2 linked regions of the Lonchura striata genome follow. The protein of the gene in region 1 purifies or fractionates together with the protein of each later gene. This does not show direct contact. Links are inferred from orthologs where the notes say so. Each region holds a gene or a part of one and is shown in the gene's direction. Other genes may lie near its edges. The genes, in order: EXOSC10 and EXOSC9.

The links.
Region 2: the proteins of EXOSC10 (region 1) and EXOSC9 purify together in Homo sapiens (co-immunoprecipitation; 7 studies listed by BioGRID and IntAct, with this or other methods). This does not show direct contact. The link is inferred for Lonchura striata from reciprocal best matches to the Homo sapiens genes EXOSC10 and EXOSC9.

What each region holds. Positions count from the first base shown.
Region 1 is NC_134626.1:5,832,632-5,836,539, forward strand, and holds the start of EXOSC10 (exosome complex component 10), read left to right. Parts: upstream 1-1,027; 5' UTR 1,028-1,042; coding exon 1,043-1,171; intron 1,172-1,990; coding exon 1,991-2,127; intron 2,128-2,586; coding exon 2,587-2,710; intron 2,711-3,182; coding exon 3,183-3,287; intron 3,288-3,648; coding exon 3,649-3,814; intron 3,815-3,908. UniProt on the Homo sapiens protein: Catalytic component of the RNA exosome complex which has 3'->5' exoribonuclease activity and participates in a multitude of cellular RNA processing and degradation events.
Region 2 is NC_134606.1:69,540,098-69,544,005, reverse strand, and holds the start of EXOSC9 (exosome complex component RRP45), read left to right. Parts: upstream 1-1,538; 5' UTR 1,539-1,579; coding exon 1,580-1,645; intron 1,646-1,819; coding exon 1,820-1,914; intron 1,915-2,503; coding exon 2,504-2,623; intron 2,624-2,709; coding exon 2,710-2,812; intron 2,813-3,226; coding exon 3,227-3,364; intron 3,365-3,471; coding exon 3,472-3,554; intron 3,555-3,686; coding exon 3,687-3,819; intron 3,820-3,908. UniProt on the Homo sapiens protein: Non-catalytic component of the RNA exosome complex which has 3'->5' exoribonuclease activity and participates in a multitude of cellular RNA processing and degradation events.

The sequences.
Region 1 (3,908 bases):
TGGGGGGAAATGGCTGAATGTGCCTCATGGCAGCCGATGGGTGTTTGTGGGGGGAAATGGCTGAATGTGCCTCATGGCAGCCGGTGGGTGTTTGTGGGGGGAAATGGGCGAATCGGTGTGTTTGTGGGAGAAATGGTTGAATGTGCCTCACAGCAGCCAGTGGGTGTTTGTGGGGGAAATGGCTGAAATCTGCCTCACGGCAGCAGGTGGGTGTTTGTGGGGGAAAAAGGCCGAATGTGCCTTATGGCAGCCAGTGGGTGTTTGTGGGGGGAAATGGCTGAATGTGTTTCATGGCAGCAGGTGGGTGTGTGGGGGGAAATGGGCAAATTGGTGTGTGTTTGTGGGAGAAATGGCTGAATGTGCCTCACAGCAGCCGGTAGGTATTTGTGGGGGAAATGGCTGAAATCTGCCTCAGAGCAGCAGGTGGGTGTTTGTGGAGGAAAAAGCCTGAATCTGTGGGTGTGAGGGGAAAAGGCCGAATATGTCGCACAGCAGCCAGTGGGTGTTTGTGGGGGGAAAGGCCGAATGTGTTGCACAGAAGCCAGTGGGTGTTTGTGGGGGGAAATGGCTGAATGTGCCATACAGTAGCTGGTGGGTGTTTGTGGGGGGAAAGGCCGAATGCGCCTCACGGCAGCTGATGTTTGTGGGGGAAAGGCCGAATGCGCCTCACGGCAGCCGTGTTTGTTGTGGGGAAAGGCCGAATGCCCCTCACGGCAGCCGGTGGGTGTTTGTGGGGGGAAAGGCCGAATGCGCCTCACGGCAGCCGGTGGGTGTTTGTTGTGGGGAAAGGCCGAATGCGCCACACGGCAGCCGGTGGTTGTGGGGGGAAAGGCCGAATGCGCCACACGGCAGCCGGTGGTTGTGGGGGGAAAGGCCGAATGCGCCACACGGCAGCCCGGCCGCGCGGCCGCCGAGCCGCTCCTCAGACCTTCCCGCCCACACAGGGCTCGTCCTGCCCCGTCCGGCCGCTGGGGGCGCCCGCGGTGCCCGCGGGTCTCAGCTCCCTTCCGGCCCGCAGTTCTCGCGACAGCCGCGCGTCAACATGGCGGCTGCCGGCCGTGAGGGGAGCCCGGCGGGGCGGGCGGGCAGCTCCGGGGCGCCCGCGGACACCGAGGGAAGGAGCACGATGCCGGCCTTGCCCGGGTTCGACAGTCCCGACGCCTTCGTCAAGGTGAGGTCGGAGAGGGGCAGGGAGAGCGGGTGAGGCACTACCGCTCCCGGCGTGCCGTGTGCGCTCGGGCCATGCCGGGAGCTGTAGTTCTGTCCCGCGGGGCCGCGTGGGGATCCCAGCCTGAGCTGGGACACCCCACGGGTGTCTCCCAGTGCGAGAAGGAGGGTGTGGGCCGGCCGGCGGGTGCGGGGCCCAGAGAGGTGTGTCTGGACCTGTTACCGGCCTGGGTCGGGCCCTGTCAGCCACCGGGGACTCCTGGAAATGCCAAGGAATCAGGACGCTCATGAAGCCTTGTTGCGATGAGAATTGCCTCTCGCCTTACAAATCGCAGCATCAGCCCCCGTGTGTTTTACCTTTCGGAGAGGAAATGGCTGCTACATCCCAAATTTGCAGGGATTTGGGGTATATTGTTAGAGTAATAAAGTAATTATCTGTGTTCCTGCTGATTTAGAACTGTAGAATATTCTGCATTGGAAGGTTCCCACAAGGATCATCGAGTCCAGCTCCTGGCCCTGCACAGACACCCCTACAACCCCACCTCGTGCCTGAGAGCATTGTCCTAATGCTCTTGGAGCTCTGGCAGCCTTGGGGCTTCGACCATTCCTGGGAAGCCTATTCAGTGTCTGATCACTAGTTTTTAAACTTTTGATATTTAAAGCTGTGTAAATAATGACATGAAGTTACTCCTGGTGAAAAGCCCCGCAGTACCACACATTAGAACCATGCAGTTCCAGCCAGGCAAAGTACATTTCTATCAAAGAGTATCTCGAGTAAAGAGAAACAAAATGCTGATGATAAAATGCTGGTGTTCTTGCACAGTATGCTCTCGGCACAGTGGTGGCTGCAACAAAGGCATCTAGCGGGCTGCCCCAGCCCGGTGACGAGTACGATTTCTACTGCAGCTTCCCTGGGTTCCGCGCGTACTGCAACACGCAGAGCGACCGCCTGCTCCGCTGGTAAGGGCCCCTCTGCCCCTCTGAGCTGTTGCTAGTAGCTGTCAAGCCACACCAAAAAGTAGCCCCCTTCTTCGACAACTTCGTGCTTGCCATAGGTAAAGAGGTGGTTTATTTCATATGTCTGATTTCAGCTGCTTCTCTAGCACTTGGCAGCTGAAGTGGCAAGCTTAAAGAGGGTATTTCATAATGATTGCCATGAAGAGCTGTGCAAAGAAGATACTGAACACACCTGATACTGAACACATTAGGCTGCCCATTTTAAAAGTCATGTTTGTGAGAAACTAATTCTAACACTTTAATATTGTATAGATGCTTTTTCTATTTACTGCTCATGTAATGATATCTATAATTTGATTTATTTTCAGACTTTTAAGGGTAGAAAGTCTAAGAGAATTGGGTGTTTTAGTGTTTAGATAGCCTGCTTTCAGATTGCTGACAGCTGTGCTGTTCTCTTGCAAGCATGAGCCAGGTGATGCAGTACCATGGCTGCCGGAGCCTCATGAAAGATTCCAGCAAAGTGACAGGGCTGGAAGATAAATTTGATATGCTGGTTGACTCCAATGATGTCATTCTTGAAAGAGTGGTAAGTAAATTATTTCTGGATGTGTTTCTTATAAAGTATTCAGTTGCCATAAGTTTTCTTTTTTTTGTTGCAAGAACTCTAGTGGCACAGCTTCCACAATTACTCACTGTTTCCTCAATTTGATGTATTCCCTTTTTATTTTAAAAACTTCCAAATGCTAGGCCAGAGATCGCAGCAAAGGTAGGTGGGCCAAAGGTGGGGAAGGTAATATGGGATGTGTGAGGAAACTAAATACAGTTTGACATAAAATACTCACAGCCTGAGAACATGTCTATACATTTTAGAGAGCTCTGAAGAAACTCTTCCCACCCCTCATCTTCAACGTGGTCTCATGTTTGTCTTTGTGTTGCACAAAATTTGGGGGAGATGGCTATGGAGGTACCTACCTACATGACTTTCTTTACTCAGCTTGATTAGAGTGTCTGGGTGTGGTGATTTAACAGGTGTTTCACATTGGTTTTCTGGATTTTAGAGTATTTTATTGGATGAAGCATCAGGAGTGAATAGAAACCAGCAGCCAGTCCTGCCAGCTGGGTTACAGCCCCCACAGATGATTGTTTCCAGCTGGAACCGTAAGGTGAGGCTCCCATGCTCAGTTTGGCTGTCTTAGCTCAGCTGTTCTCCCAGCCATTGCACTTCCAGTTCTCCAGTGTTTTTTCATGCATTCTAAGTACCTCTCTCTTTTTCTCTTTTTCCTACTCATTCAAACTTGGTTCTGAAATCTTCATGCTTTCAATTGCCATTTCAGTTTCACATGCTCAACAGCCTTTCCTGTGCTTATGAATTCAGGATCTTGAGTCACAACTTCTTTTCCTTAATGAAAAATAGTTACTCAGTTTTAATTGTGGGGTATAACTCTTCCTCTGAATGTTGGATCAGACTGAGGAAAAGAATGTCTGGTAAGTCATGTTAGTTTTACCTCTGTTTTTTTTAAATAGGCAGGAGAATTCCACAAGAGAACTCAGTCTGAAACATTCCGACTGCTTCATGCCAAGAATATTTCTCGACCACAGCTTAAGTTTCGTGAAAAGATTGACAATTCCAACACTCCCTTTGTACCTAAACTTTTTATCAAACCAAATGCTTTGAAGCCTTTGCCTGAAGGTAAGGGGTTTATTTTTTGGGGGGATAACTTGTTGCAGGTATTTGACACAAACCTGTTCTCACAGTCTAGAGGAGAAATCACGGAGTATAAAAA
Region 2 (3,908 bases), on another chromosome or scaffold:
GACGCAGCTGATTTCCAGCCCCAATACATGACTTATTTCCCCTGGAATTACATCCAGCTCCCACTGAAGTTCACCATCACCACCACCTTCTCTTTTGAAAACGTGCTTTTCCGCCAGCCCGATAGATCGAGTCACTTAACAGTTCACTGAGAGAGCAGGAACAGGAATTTTCCCACTCCACCTCAAGCAGAAATCTCAATATATGCTGAAATTAACATATTTTTGTAATTGACGAAGAGTAAAGTAGTTTGGACAACTCCCACAAACAAAAAAAAACGCTTCCAAATTTGCTGTTAGTAAACTTGAAGAGTTACAGAATTTAACCCCAAGCCTTCGCTAATGAATATTGTCGCCAAATTCACACCAAAAAAGTAAAATCAGACAGAATTTCCACGTAAAAATTGTCAGTAAAACTCCAAGGGCAATTTGCTTATTTTTGTCCTTGGAGAAGGAGTGTCTTTCTGTAATTTTATAGATATTTTCTTACACCTATTATTTGTGATGATATTTATCCTAAACTGAAAATATAAAACCAGCATGGGAAAATCAGGCAGCACTTGTCCTCACTAGCACAAACTTGTGAGTTTTAGAAACACGACTTACATTTTAGTTTGTACCAGAACTGTAGTGTATTAACAAGGCTTGAAAAGACAGCGTGACTGAGCTATTTCAACACTTTTGTGTGGAATATGCCAGTGTCTGGGGTTTAGTATTGGTGGGAAGACAATAGATTTTCTCGTTTTAGCTCAAACGAAGCATAAAAGCCACTTGTAAAGGCCTTTTTACTTACGGGCAACATTTCAGAACAGCAGGGAGGGATGTTCTGCTGGCAGCCCGGGTGCCGCGGGGCATCCGCACCTGGAGGGCTGGGCACCACAATAGTGTTAACCACTCGAAATGTCCGGCATGCATGTTTTGTGCGGTTTTTTTGTTGGGTTTTTTTGTGTTTTTTTTTTTTTTTTTTTTTTTTTGTTGTTGTTGTTGTTGTTGTTTGTTTGGTTGTTTTTTTTTAAATTCCAGATGGCTTTCCTGAGGACCGGCACTCCGGCACCATTTGTCGCTGCCGAGGCGCTGAGGCGCGCACCCTCACACCCTGCACCGGCGCGCCTTCTCCTCGGGTGCTGCGTGCAGTTTTGGGCACCGCAGTAAGGAAAAGACAGGGAGCTGCTGGAGAGCACGAGGGTGCTGAAGGGCCCGGAGGGGAAGCCGTGTGAGGGGCGCCTGGGGGCGCTTGGTCTGTTCAGCTGGCGGAGACTGAGGGGAGACCTCAGCATCCTCGGGAGGGGGAGCGGAGGGGCAATGCCGATCTCTGCACTCTGGTGACCAGGGATAGGACTCGGGGAAGCAGCGTGAAGCTGAGTGGGGGCAGGTTTAGCTCGGATAGCAGGAAGTTTCCCCAAGCAGAGCGCGCTGCCGCCCGGCTACGGGAGTCTCGGGGCCGCGCCCTCCCTGAGGGGGCGCGCGCGGGGGCGGCAACGCCGCGGCGCGTGCGCGCTGGGCACGCGCGGCGCGCGGCGATGACGCGCGCGCTCCCCCCCCGCGCCGTGCCCCGCGCGCGCTGCCCCCTCACGGCGCGGCCATGAAGGCGACGCCGCTCTCCAACTGCGAGCGGCGCTTCCTGCTCCGCGCCATCCAGGAGAAGAAGGTGCGGCGCCAGCACCCCCCTCCCCGCCCCTTTCCCCATCCCTTTCCCCATCCCCTTGCCCGCCGCCCGCGGAGCGCGGCTGTCGCCGGGAGCCGCCTCCCCCGCCGCGGTGCCGTCGCATGGCGGGCATGGCGCACCGACCCTCTCCATGTGTGTGTCCCTGTGTTCCCGCAGCGCCTGGACGGGAGGCAGTGCTACGACTACCGGAACATCCGCGTCTCCTTCGGCGCGGACCGCGGCTGCTGCATGGTGGAGCTGGGCAGGACCAGGTGGGCGCGGGGGCTCGGCCGCGGGCCCCGGGCCAAGGAGAGCCTGAGGTTCCCCTGCCTGCAGACATCTCTGTAAACAGATTTTAACCTTTCAAGCCCTAAAGCCCTAGTATTTCAAGGGTGGGAGCAAAGAGGAGAGGATGGAAAGGAAGGAAGCGGGAAAGGGATGGGGTTTCCGTGATGATTGTAGTTACAAATAATTTATAAAATGCAGAATTGTTCCCAGGTTTTCATCCGTTTATTCAGTGGTCTCACGTTTTGCATTCTTCCCCAGACCAAACAACCCTTTTTTGCCTGTGTAAAAGTGAAATCTGTGCATTTACATAAATATGTCATTACAGTTTCTCATGTGTTTGAGTCAATTCTTAGTCTTAAAAGACAGGAGTACGTTCTAGTTCTTAACATTTGGCTCCTTCAGTTGTTGACCAGATTTTAAATAATGTTTGACAGATGTTGAACGAGAAACTGTCAGGAGTGAGAATTACAAACTAAAACCCTAACCACATGCTTTTTTCTCCCCAAGTATGTGTTTTGTTTCTAGATTTTCCCTGGTATTTTCTGTGACTTGGTGGTTTATTTGCCTTGGCAGGGTTCTTGCACAGGTCTCGTGTGAACTCGTTCCGCCTAAGCCCAGTCGACCCACAGAGGGTGTGCTCTTCTTCAATCTGGAGCTCTCACCCATGGCTGCACCTGGGCTGGAGCCTGGCAGGTAATGCATGTCTTAAAAGGAGTAAACAGGGATGGCATAAAAGCCACTGTAATCGTATTGACTTTGGGTTAATTTTATTCCAACAGACAATCTGAGTTACTGGTGTCACTGAACAGACTACTGGAGCGATGCCTCAGAGATTCCAAATGTATTGAGACTGAATCTCTCTGCGTTGTTGCTGGTGAAAAGGTAGGAAAACTTCTTCATTCCTGGTGGGTTTAAACTAAAAAATACATATAGTCCAATTTTAAGTTGGTCTCTGTCTTGTGTTGGATAGTAGAAGTACTGATTTTAGGTTAATGTAAAGATCCACTCATCTGATTTGAGAGGTATTTTTAACTTGTCATGTCTGCATAGGCTTTCTGAAGTAGCTGGGACCCTACAGAATGTTGTTTAAATTGTGCTGAAGTGCTGCATATTTTGTCCTAATTAAATCTGGCACAGTGGGTCTCTTGAAATATACCTAGATCTCTAATCTTCTTAGTCAAAGACCTAGGGAAAATATATTGGTTCTTTGTCTGTTTCAAAAAAGATGAACTAGTTTTGAAGAAAAATTAATTTCTGTAGAATCAAGCAGTTTTGTATTTTTTGTATTTTTGTCAGGTTTGGCAAATTCGGCTGGACATGCACCTGTTAAACCATGATGGCAACATCACTGATGCTGCCAGCATAGCAGGGATTGTAGCTCTGTGTCATTTTCGCAGGCCAGATGTGTCTGTGCAAGGAGAGGAAGTAACTGTGGTAAGCTGGGTTTTTGTTTCTGTTTTAAATTTCCTGAAATTTCTTTGTCACTTTAAAATTAAACGAGTTTAATAAATAACTGTATTCTGGGCCAATTCCTTTCCAAGTACACTCCTGAGGAACGTGATCCTGTCCCCTTGAGTATCCACCACATGCCCATTTGTGTCAGTTTTGCCTTCTTCCATCAAGGGTAAGATTTTGAGGTCTTATGTACCCACATAAGGGGTATAAACCTTGCCAACTCCTTTGTTTAATTGTGTTTAAGGGTAGTAAGGTGTCTCGAATTTCTACTGTTGCCTCATATTTCAAACCTTGATTCTAGGACCTATTTGTTGGTGGACCCAACTGAACGTGAGGAGCGGGTGATGGATGGGCTCCTCGTAATTGCCATGAATAAACACCATGAAATTTGTACCATCCAGTCCAGTGGAGTGGTCATGCTGCTGCCAGATCAGGTAAACCTTTGCTCTGATCAGTCCTTCTGTGGTGTATAGACTGGTTCCTGTGCTGCAGTCTTGATGTGGAAATATCCATGACATTTGGA